Callithrix jacchus: one gene and its partners. The protein of the gene in region 1 purifies or fractionates together with the protein of each later gene. This does not show direct contact. Links are inferred from orthologs where the notes say so. Each region holds a gene or a part of one and is shown on either strand. Other genes may lie near its edges.

What was found.
Region 2: the proteins of ESYT1 (region 1) and SYNJ2BP purify together in Homo sapiens (affinity purification with mass spectrometry; 4 studies listed by BioGRID and IntAct, with this or other methods). This does not show direct contact. The link is inferred for Callithrix jacchus from reciprocal best matches to the Homo sapiens genes ESYT1 and SYNJ2BP.
Region 3: the proteins of ESYT1 (region 1) and ATL3 purify together in Homo sapiens (affinity purification with mass spectrometry; 3 studies listed by BioGRID and IntAct, with this or other methods). This does not show direct contact. The link is inferred for Callithrix jacchus from reciprocal best matches to the Homo sapiens genes ESYT1 and ATL3.

What each region holds. Positions count from the first base shown.
Region 1 is NC_133510.1:63,536,890-63,541,006, reverse strand, and holds the start of ESYT1 (extended synaptotagmin-1), read left to right. Parts: upstream 1-1,284; 5' UTR 1,285-1,377; coding exon 1,378-1,767; intron 1,768-4,117. UniProt on the Homo sapiens protein: Binds calcium (via the C2 domains) and translocates to sites of contact between the endoplasmic reticulum and the cell membrane in response to increased cytosolic calcium levels.
Region 2 is NC_133509.1:105,382,929-105,387,100, reverse strand, and holds the start of SYNJ2BP (synaptojanin-2-binding protein), read left to right. Parts: upstream 1-1,335; 5' UTR 1,336-1,440; coding exon 1,441-1,504; intron 1,505-4,172. UniProt on the Homo sapiens protein: Regulates endocytosis of activin type 2 receptor kinases through the Ral/RALBP1-dependent pathway and may be involved in suppression of activin-induced signal transduction.
Region 3 is NC_133511.1:120,713,025-120,716,670, reverse strand, and holds part of ATL3 (atlastin-3), read left to right. Parts: coding exon 1-171; intron 172-306; coding exon 307-450; intron 451-3,646. UniProt on the Homo sapiens protein: Atlastin-3 (ATL3) is a membrane-anchored GTPase that mediates the GTP-dependent fusion of endoplasmic reticulum (ER) membranes, maintaining the continuous ER network. It facilitates the formation of three-way junctions where ER tubules intersect.

The DNA of each region.
Region 1 (4,117 bases):
AACCAGAAAAATTTATCAGCTGCAGGCCTCATCCTGTAAGACACTTCCTCTAACAAATGGCTAGTTTCTCCCCAATGATCAACCCCAGTTCTCTGCTGCATCTGACAGAGTTCCATAATATGCCCATATATACTGCAGTAAAGGTAATCATTTTATGACCAATACTTAAACTACCAATTAGCCTTATACCTAGATCCCAGGACAACACTCCACCTTTAAGGCCAGTTAACTAGTGTCCATAGTCATCAGTGTACTCTGCACTTTTTCCTTCCTAAACCTACACAGTACACTGTGGAACTACGTTAGTTCTGCACCTGACTGGCAAACTTTTCTTCTAACTCAGGCAAATGAGAAAGGGAATTGTCTTTCCCTTACTCTTGATTCCTCATTTTACTGTCCTAGAAGTTCCTCGGGGTCAGGAAATTATTGGAAAATGTAATAATTTCCACTGCCCCCCTCCCTTTTGGAGCCAACTAGTCTTACTCCATCCTCGATGATAGAGATGACTTACCAACTCTTGGAAATTTCCAAAAAGAAATAAAGCCTCACTTTCTATTCACTCCTCTGCTTCCCCCCCCCCGCTTTCCCTGAAGACTGGATTACCTCAACTCTGTACTTCTCTGATTCTCCAGTTTTCTCCACGGTCATTCGTTACACCACACAAACAAGGCAGGGGATGGGGACGGGATAGACAGGGTCAGTCTTCAAACAGTTTCATTCCAAATAAGATCGTGTCCTTTCCTTTTCTAAGAGCAGGCAGGGAAAAGTTGAAGGATAAGGAATGGGCTTAGAGTATGAAAAGTAGAGAAAGTCGGAAAAAGAACATATGGATATCCCAGACCAAATCCTGCCAAACTGTCCGAATGAGCAGAGGGAAATCATGAGGCTACACATCCACAACCCCTCAACTTCACAACTTGGGCTTTCTCCAAAACCCAGAAATTGGCGGTGCGGCTCTCCATGACGTCATACCACAGGCACTCCAATCCCACGTGGGGGAGCTCTTGGTCCCGCCTCTCCAGAAATGGTGCACCACGCCTCCTCCTCTTTATTACCAATCGAATGCCGCTTCTGAGCCCCTTTCTTCCTTTTCCCGCCATCCCAGACCTCCCATCTTGGCCTTCGGGCCCAATCAGGGAGGCCCTACCTATCAGAAACCCTATCCCTTCCCCGCGGAAGAGAGGAGGAGTTTCAACCTTTTAACTCCACCTTGGTCTGTGCAGCGCAGACCAACCCAAATCGCCAGAAAGGAGGGGCGTGGCTTGAAGTCCCCTCCTCCCTCCCGGGGATCACGTTTTGCTGTGGGGTAGCTGGTCGCAAGACTGGGATACCTCCAGCAGGTCCCCGGGTCGGGCAAATCCTCCCAGAGGTGACACAATGGAGCGGTCTCCAGGAGAGGGCCCCAGCCCCAGCCCCATGGACCAGCCTTCTGCTCCTTCCGACGCCACTGACCAGCCCCCCGCTGCTAACGCAAAGCCAGACCCAGGTTCCGGGGGCCAACCTGCTGGCCCTGGCGCAGCGGGTGAGGCCCTGGCGGTGCTGACTTCATTCGGAAGGCGGCTGCTGGTGCTGATACCGGTGTACCTGGCGGGTGCAGTGGGACTCAGCGTGGGTTTCGTGCTCTTCGGCCTCGCCCTCTATCTGGGCTGGCGCCGGGTCCGCGACGAGAAAGAACGGAGCCTTAGAGCAGCGAGGCAGCTACTGGACGACGAGGAGCAGCTCACGGCGAAAACTCTTTATATGAGTCATCGAGAGCTACCTGCCTGGGTGAGCGACTACCCTCGGTCCTCGGTGCAGCCTAGCCCCCTTCCACCCCTTCCGTCTGGGGCTTTCTCTCCTTATGCCTAGAGTCAGCTCCCCCGCCTTGCAACAGTGGGCCCCACACTTTCCCCTCTCTCCCCAGTAAGCCGCCTGCCTACTGGACGCGCCACTCTTAGGACCGGCTGCTCACTCTCCCCACCCACCCTTTCGCACGCCCAGACTGGATCCTTCCACAGAGTCAGGACTTCTTCCTCTACTCCTGGGCAACAGCAGTTAACAACATCTGGGAACCCCCATCTCAGCCGAAGCTCTCCCTCCTAGCCAAGCCATCTTGAACGCCCCTCTCGCTTTTGGTGCCACTCGCGCCTTTGCTGCTCCCAGAAATCCTGGTCCCGTTACTTCTCGAGGGTTTCCCTCGCCTCTCGCATCCTCCTCGAGACTATTTACCTACTTAAGGCCATACGGTTCTCCCTTTTCTTGCTTTTATCCCCGGGTACCCGCTGAAACCCAGCGCCGGCCCTCGGAAGGCGTTGGGCAGCCGCCTTCGAGCTTCAAGCAGCCAGGCTGCAGAGCGGCAGAGGAGGCTGCTGGACGGAGGGCGGGGTGTGGGAGGAGGTGGTGCGGTTGCTGCAGTGCCCGCGGCCCACACTCCCCCCCACACCCTGCCGGCCACACCCTTTTCCGGACTGTGGGCTGCGTTTGTTCCTTTGGGGCCGAGACCCTTGTTTCTGCGGCGGCTGCGTCTCCTGTGCTGAGGCGGATGCATGCTCTCTAGCCTTTCAGAGGCAAAGCCCGTTACCTGGCCCCTCCCAACAGACGTGCCAGTCTAGGAGAAGAATGGCAGCAGAGAGGGGCCGGGTGCGGTGGCTCATGCCTGTAATCCCAGCACTTTGGGAGGCCGAGGCGGGTGGATCACGAGGTCAAGAGATCGAGACCATCCTGGTCAACATGGTGAAACCCCGACTCTACTAAAAATACAAAAAATTAGCTGGGCACGGTGGCGCGCGCCTGTAATCCCAGCTACTCAGGAGGCTGAGGCAGGAGAATTGCCTGAACCCAGGAGGCTGAGGTTGCGGTGAGCCGAGATCGCGCCATTGCACTCCAGCCTGGGTAACAAGAGCGAAACTCCTTCTCAAAAAAAAGAATGGCAGCAGAGAGAGATCAAAATTGACACTAGGCAGACACAGCCAAGCTTCCCAGGCCCTGGACTGGAAACGGGAGGAGAAAAGGGGAGAAATGGCCCTACGGGACCTGTAGCCCAGGCTGCAACTGTCTGCCTTCTCATCATGGAAGCCAATCTTCCCACCCCCAATACAAAGCTCAGGTGTCCTTTCCCTTAAAAGGAGTCACAGAGGATAAGAAAAGAAAAAAAAAAAACACCAAAAACCCCACAGACAGGCCTAATTAGATCTTCTTGCCCCTCCCTGACTCGAGGACTTGCTTAACTCCTCACCTTCCTGCTCTAGAAGCCCCATCTGAGGGGAATTAGGAAGCCTGGAAAAAGGAACCAGGACTTTTTTTTTTTTTTTTTTTTTTTTAAGACGGAGTTTCATTATTTTCCCAGGCTACAGTGCAGTGGCACCATCTCGGCTCAGCACAACCTCTGCCTCCTGGGTTTAAGCGATTCTCCTGCCTCAGGCACTGGAGTAGCTGGGATTACAGGCATGAACCACCACGGCTAATTTTTTTTTTTTTTTGAGACGGAGTCTTGCTCTGCCAGGCTGGAGTGCAGTGGCGAAATCTCCGCTCACTGCAAACTCCGCCTCCTGGGTTCAAGCGATTCTTCTGCCTCAGCCTCCGTAGTAGCTGGGACCACAGGGGCGTGCCACCACGCCTAATTTTTGTATGTTTAGTAGAGACGGGGTTTCACCATGTTGGCCAGGATGGTCTCCAACTCCTGACCTCGGGTGATCCGCCTGCCTCGCCTTCCAAAGTGCTGGGATTACAGGTGTGAGCCACCGCGTCAGGCCCGAACCAGGACTTTTTGAGATGGAGTCTTGCTCTGTTGCCCAGGCTGGGGTGTAGTGGGGTACCATCTCAGCTCACCACAACCTCCACCTCCCGGGTTCAAGTGATTCTCCTGCCTCAGCCACCCCTGCCAGTAGCTGGGACTATAGGCGCCCCACCATGCCCAACTAATTTTTGTATTTTTAGTATAGATGGGGTTTCACTATGTTGGCCAGGCAGGTCTCGAACGCCTGACGTCATGATCCGCCCGCCTCGCCTCCCAAAGTGCTGGGATTACAGATGTGAGCCACTGTGCCCGCCTGGAACCAGGACTTTTTAAATCCTAGGATTCCCTCTGATTTGACTGGACCTCCCCCTCCAGAAAGAATGTGTCCTCCTCCTCCTCCCC
Region 2 (4,172 bases), on another chromosome or scaffold:
TTTTTGAGATGGGGTTTCACTTTTGCTGCCCAGGCTGGTGTGCAATGGCGGGTTCTTGGCTCACTGTAACCTCCACCTCTTGGGTTCAAGGATTTTCCTGCCTCGGCCTCCCAAGTAGCTGGGATTACAGGCCTGGACCGTCACATCCAGCTAATTTTTTGTATTTTTAGTAGAGACAGCGTTTCTCCATTTCAGTCAGCCTGGTCTTAAACTCCCGACCTCAGGTGACCCACCTGCCTTGGCCTCCCAAAGTGCCGCTTTGGTTTTTTACTCTGAATTTGAATGTCTTTATATTGGCCTTGCACTTTCTAGTACTCTAAGATCCCCACCAATCCCTGTGGTCCTGGCTCTTAAGGCTTTTGTGTTTTTGACCCCTTAAGTTTCATTCAAGTTCAGTTTCGAATGTCTCATTCCAAAGGTCAGAAAGACTGGGCTAAAGTCTAAGTCGTGCATTAACCTTATTGTAACGGTTAAAAAATTAAAAAGATTGAATTTTCCCAGTTGCCAAAAGGATGAGACATTCCCCCACACCATTTCTTAAAAACTTTTCTTGAGCAAATTGTGATTATAATCTGTGCGTGTGTGTGTGTGTGTGTGTGTGTGTGTGTGTGTCTTTTTAAAAGCTAAATACCCAGGTACAAATAAAAAAATAAAAAATAAATAAGCCTCTTGTCAGATAAAAACCAGGAATTTTTTCCTAAGGTCCCAGGAGCCAACTCCTTGAAATGTAGGTATCAAGATAGCGCCCCTGTGTTCCACACTGCAGGAGTTAATCTAAGCACCTTGCTCCAAGCTTTAAATACCTGTTTGTCACAGAGATAACGTTTTATTTTTCCTTTGGATAAAGGCAACTAGCCAACACAGACGGCCACTCCAAGGGTAAACTACCAAAAAATTGAATACGAAACTATGTCAACTCGTCTTCCACGAGTACATGCGTGTGCTTTGGCTACATAAAAGATGAGATTTTCGTCTCTCTTTGCAATCTTATTAGTGGATTGCCTGTGACACCATTCCAGTCTGGTTCGATGCTTACAGAATAATACAACTTTTTTTCCTTTTCTACATTTGTTTAGATTTTCTAGGACGGCAGATTTTATTTTCTTTTTATTTTTTCTCGACAATATCAATTTGTTTAGGTCCCTTACTTTTACTAGCCACCCCCTTCCCACCTGCTTTCAATGGCAAATTAGAATGGTGGCTTGCCCCTTGCTCACCTCTTGCTTGACTTTGGGAAGCGGTGAAAAACTGCAACCCGTGGGCAGTAAGAACCACGATTCCCAGCATTCCCAGCGCTCCGAGTCCTTTGAACTTCCTTTTCCGGGTCTCGAGGCTGCTGAAACCGAAAGTGCTGTGCTGTGGGCGCAGCGCCGAGATTGATTCACCTTCACCTGCAGAACTCCAGCTGACCCACGTAGGAAGCCAGGCAAGCTGTAAAACATGAACGGAAGAGTGGATTATTTGGTCACTGAAGAAGAAATCAATCTTACCAGAGGACCCTCAGGTATGTGCGGAACAGGTCATTATCGGATAGTAGGGGATTAGAGGAGGTAATTGCCGACACCTCTGCTGCTGAGCGGGATTCACCTGGCCTCGGGGCAGGCAGGCCCCAACCTAGAGGTTTCCTGCAAAGCTTTGGGGTGCTTAGAGAAAATATATTGAATTCCATCATTAGCCAGATACGGGTCTGAGGAATCCACCTCAAAATCCAGTCGGGTGGCCACAAATATATATAGTCAAAAAGGGGTTCTTTCTGCAAATCCTGCTAGAAAAGCCTTTTTTAAAGCCTGCTTTTTTTAGACAGCTTACCTTGGGCACCACATCCTTCCGTTGCCTGTTCTATCACTCCCCCTACGAGGGATCGTTTAGTAAATTGGGAGCATAAACGGTGTGAACTCTGAATGCATAGCCGTTTTCCTCCAGCTGGGAACCCTTCCTCGCTCCTTTCGTTTCTGGGAAATTCATTTAGAGCGTCAACTAGAATGTTAAATCACGAAGAGCCCTTAGAAATCTTTTATTTACACAGTTTCCCTAACTTGGTTCTGCCACCAAATTACCCAGGGCTTTTTGGTTTTGCCTTTTATTTAAAAAATAAAAAAAGTTTAATTCCTGTGTCATTTGCAGGGATTTGGATTCAAAATGGGTGTGTCTGTGTGTATGTGTGTGTGTGTGTGTGTGAGTGTGTGTGTGTATATATATATATATATATATATATATTTTTTTTTTTTTTGTAATGAACACCTCATGTGATTTTGAGTAGCCAAACTGCTATCCTCTTCCTCCACTGAGGCTCTTCATTAAACCCGGCTCTTGACGTTACTGCGTTCTGCCTTCTATGGACTTTGTTGACTTTCCTTTACAGCTGTTTAGTTCATTGGTTAAAAGCTTTAGCTTTGGAATTACAGTATCTGGGTCCAAATCTTCTAACCTCTTACTGGTTCTTTGGTACTTATTGGCTATCTTAAGTGATGTAAGCCTTAGTTTACCATTTCTAAAATGGGGATGGTTGTAAATACACTTCGTAATGTTGTGAGAATGATGGAAAATGTTTACAACATTGCCAGACCCATGGTAGGCAGTGTCTCCTATTGTTATTGTTAATGGATGAATGGCTTAACTGACACAGTAAATTCTAATATTGTATTCCAAGAGTCTTTAATAAATCATCAAGTACTATGAGCTTCATTTCTGAAATGTTCCTGAAATTATTTCACTGCTATTTCCATTGCCACTACGTAAGGCAGTGCATCACCTTTTCTCATCTGCAGTTCTGCAGTAGCCTAATCATCATGGATAGATTATTCTTTATAAAATAGGACTTTCAGAATTACCCATACGTTGTGTCTTCTCTTCTTTTCTTTTCTTTTTTTTCTTTTTTGAGACAGGATCTCACTCTGTTGCCCAGGCTGGAGTGTAGTGGCACGATCCGAACTCACTGCAGCCTCTCCCTCCCAGGCTCAAGCAATCCTCCCATCTCAGCCTTTTGCGTAACTGGTACCACAGGTATACACTGCCATGTCTGGCTAATTTTTTTGCATTTTTAATAGAGACGATGTTTCGCTATGTTGCCCAGGCTGGTTTCGAACTCCTGAGTTCAAATGATCCACCCACCTCAGCCTCCCAAAGTGCTGGGATTATAGATGTGAGCCACTGCACCTGGCCTTCCTTTCTATTATAAAAAATTGGAAGTTGGTTTTACTTATTGGAATATAACTCATCACTAATATCATTATTATTATTTGTTTTTAGAGACGAAGTCTCACTTTGTTGCCCAGCATGGTCTTGAACTCCTGGACTCAGGCAGTCTTCCTGCCTTGGCCTCCTAAAGTGCTGGAATTACAGTCGTGAGCCACCACGCCTGGCTTGTCGCTAATCTTAATGGGTTAATGTCATGCTCCATTTGTGGACCGAAATTTTAGTCAAAGGCTCATTTGGTATGCCCAAGTTTCTTGGATTCATTTTTTTGCTATTTTATATAAATTTCTCCTTCACTCACTGTTAATATTTATTGACTTTTGAGGTTAACATAGAAAGTTACTTTTAAACCAAAATCTGTTTTTCTGTACTTTTCATTCATTGATAATTTGTTTTCTTAGTACCATTTAAAACAATGCTAGTTCCTTTTCTGATTGCTGTGCAAGTAGTAAAGGCTCTAGTTGTTCTGCTCCTGTTTTGCCACTTTCTTCTTTAGCCTAAATATCTTCAGTTATTTTTTATTTTATTTTATTTTATTTTTTTGAGATGGAGTCTTGTTCTGTTGTCAGGCTGGAGCTCAGTGGTGCCATCTTGGCTTACTGCAACCTCTACCTCCCGGGTTCAAGTGATTCTTCTGCCTCAGCCTCCCGAGTTGCTGGGGCTACAGGCGCATGCCACCACACCCAGCTAAGTTTTGTATTTTTAATAGAGACGGGGTTTCACCATGTTGGCCAGGATGGTATCGATATCCTGACCTTGTGATCTGCCCGCCTTCGTCTCCCAAATTGCTGGGATTATAGGCGTGAGCCACCGTGCCCAGCTCTTCACTTATTTTATTACCTCTCGAGATGTTTGAGATTTGATTTTTGCCTTTTGTTTAAGAATTTAATGTACTTTGACATAGTCCTTTTGCTGTGGCATCCACAGTGTTTTCAGATCTCCTGTCTAAAGCAGAGCAGAACCCTGATACTATCTCT
Region 3 (3,646 bases), on another chromosome or scaffold:
TTGGTTCAGAAAGAACAACATTCCTTTGAGCTAGATGAGAAAGCCTTGGCCAGCATCCTCTTGCAGGACCACATCCGAGATCTTGATGTGGTGGTGGTTTCAGTGGCTGGTGCCTTCCGAAAGGGCAAGTCTTTCATTCTGGATTTTATGCTACGATACTTATATTCTCAGGTAAGATAGAATTATTTTATTTCAAGTAAAAAGTGAGACTTTAATGTTCAAAAAAGCAAAATAAGCTCATAGATTATCCTTGATGCAAAAAATTTTCAATTAAGATTTAATGGAAATTTCTTACTTCTTCTGCAGAAGGAAAGTGGCCGTTCAAATTGGTTGGGTGACCCAGAAGAACCATTAACAGGATTTTCATGGAGAGGGGGTTCTGATCCAGAAACCACTGGGATTCAGATCTGGAGTGAAGTTTTCACTGTGGTGAAGCCAGGTGGGAAGAAGGTAAGGATGAAAATGACATACAGATTAACAAAAACAGCTACACAATATGAACTTTGGCATGTACTGTGTTAATCCAATTAAAAAACCGTTTATCACAGAATTTAAAATGGGTAAAGTAAGAATTAACGTTAAAAGTCTCTGTTTTGTCCTGAAATTTCAGTCTGTTGTAGATAAATAGGATTTTCTGACACAGGTATGAAAAGTTACTGTATTATTTTAATTTTTTGGAAAAGCATTTTTGCTAAAAGCTGTGCAGACTTTTTCCTTTGTACTTAGCAGTACTTTATGTTGTATTGCTTAGAGCCATGTAGGATTTTAAGATTTAATTAAAAAATTATTAATCTGTGGCTTACTGTTAATTCCTATTTCAACATGCTTTTCCTTGAATAATTCAGGTTACAACTTCTTGTGTATGAAAGCTTTCCTTCACACACTATTTTTGTGGGTGTGTGTATATCCAACTTGGGGAGAATTTGAAAAACACATAGCTTTTTAATTTGTTTGAAGCAAACTGTTTCTGCCTGTTCGGTCTGTTACATTTTGTGTTCTTTACCAACTAAAGAAGCCGATGGCATTTTGAGTTTTATATTGTGTTTTCCACTGGTATATACCTGTTGATTTGTTTGTGCCTTTTATTTATTTATTTATTTATTTATTTTTTATTTTTATTTTTTGAGACGGAGTTTCGCTCTTGTTACCCAGGCTGGAGTGCTATGGCGCAATCTCGGCTCACCGCAACCTCCGCCTCCCGGGTTCAGGCAATTCTCCTGCCTCAGCCTCCCGAGTAGCTGGGATTACAGGCACACGCCACTGTGCCCAGCTATTTTTTTGTATTTTTAATAGAGACGGGGTTTCACCATGTTGACCAGAATGGTCTCGATCTCTTGACCTCGTGATCCACCCGTCTCGGCCTCCCAAAGTGCTGGGATTACAGGCTTGAGCCACCGTGCCCGGCCTGTGCCTTTTATTAACTGCAATTTTCTGAAATTTTTTTTAGTCAAAGGAAAGAAGATGTGAAAACAAAAACCTTTTATCAAAGCAAATGATTTAAACATAATGATTGTCTTTAAGATTCCTCAAAAATGCATGAATGTAGTGTGAAAAGTCATACTGAAAGTCCTCTAACAGAAAGCAACTGTCATATATGTTATTCTCCTCTCTGCCTCATCTTCACTTCCCAGAGGCTGATATTCTTACCTGTTATCACTTCTGCTCTTTACTTCCTTATTCCTGTATGAGTGGCACAGACCTGGCTGCTTTTGTTCTGGGAGTTGAGCAGGGAAATCACATTGGTGATCTCACTGTTCAGAAAGTGGGCATTTACTACCCCCAGCTATCAGTAGGGCTTCTTAACCCCAGTCTCATCCATGCCAGATAAGGTATGGCCATAGAGCCTCTTCACAGATTTCTCTGTAAGCGTCGAGAGGAGTAAGTCATAAGTCAGGTAAGTCATGTGTTTCTTTCTTTCTTTCTTTTTTTTTTGAGACAGAGTCTTGCTCTGTCACCCAGGCTGGAGTGTAGTGGCCCGATCTTGGCTCACTGCAACCTCTGCTTCCTGGGTTCAAGTGATTCTCTTGCCTCAGCCTCCTGAGTAGCTGGGATTACAGACGCATGCCACCATGCCCAGCTAATTTTTGTATTTTTAGTAGAGATAGGGTTTCACCATGATAGTCAGGCTGGCCTCTAACTCCTGACCTCATGATCCGTTCACTTTGGCCTCCCAAAGTGCTGGGATTACAAGCATGAGCGACCGCACCCGGCTGTCATGTGTTTCTTATACAGACTTCTTTCATTCATTTCATCTGTTTTAACTCCATCCTACAAGTATGCTTTCACAGCTATTTGTGATTTGTGCTTTTTTTTTTGTTTTGTTTTGTTTTGAGATGGAGTCCCGCTCTGTCACTCAGGCTAATGTGCAATGGCGCGATCTCAGTTCACTGCACTCTCCACCTCCACCTCCCGGATTTAGGGAATTCTCCTGCCTCAGCCTCCCGAGTAGTTGGTATTACAAGCGTGCACCACCACGTTTAGCTAATTTTTGTATTTGTAGTTAACATGGGGTTTCCTCATCTTGGCCAGGCTGTTCTTGAACTCCTGACCTCAGGTGATCCTCAGCCTCTCGAAGTGCTGGGATTACAGGTGTGAGCCACCACACCTGGCCAGGAACTTTTTAGGAAAAAGAGAATAGGTCAGGTGCGGTGGCTCACGCCTATAATCCCAGCACTTTGGGAGGCTGAGGTGGGAGAATCAGTTGAGGCCAAGAGTTTGAGACCAGCCTGTGCAATATAGTGAGACTCCATCTCTACAAGAAATAAAATGAGCTGAGTGTGATGGCATTCACCTGTAATCCCAGCTACTTGGGAAGGCTGAGGTGGGAGGATGACCTGAGCCCAGGAGGTCAAGAGTGAGACCCTGTCTCAAAAAAAATAAAAATTAAAAAAATAAAAAAAAAGAAAGAGGAGAATATAGGATAATAAGGAGTTATAATATTGACATTTAAATTTTTTTTTTTGAGACAGAGTCTCATTCTTGTTGTCCAGGCTAGAGTGCAGTAGTGCGATCTTGGCTACTGCAACCTCCGCCTCCTGGGTTCAAGTCATTCTCCTACCTCAGCCTCCCAAGTAGCTGGGATTACAGGCATATGCCACCGCACCTGGCTAATTTTTGTATTTTCAGTAGAGACAAGGTTTCACCATCTTGACCAGGCTGGTCTTGAACTCCTGACCTCATGATCCACCCATCTTGGCCTCCCAAAGTGCTGGGATTACAGTCATGAGCCACTGTGCCCGGCCTAGTCTTTTAATTTTTAAAATAATTTTTATTGAGATAAAATTGACATTCCATTTCTTTCCTCCCAGCTTTTGTGCTATGGTCTCTTATTTTTATTTTATTTTTTGAGATAAGTTCTCCTCTGTCTCCCAGACTGGAGCTCAGTGACATGATCATGGCGCACTATAGCCTCGACTTCCCAGGGTCAGGTGATCTTCCCACCTCAGCCTCCTGAACAGCTGGAACCACAGGCATTGCTCCACCATGCCCAACTAATTTTTTATATTTTTATAGAGATGGGGTTTTGCTGTGTTGCCCAGTCTGGAATAGTCTGTTTTCTTAAAGACATTTAAATTAAAGAGTCATGTGTTACCCATATAGTTACCATTAGCCTTGCTCTTTATTTTTCAATTTGTCTGGTATAATT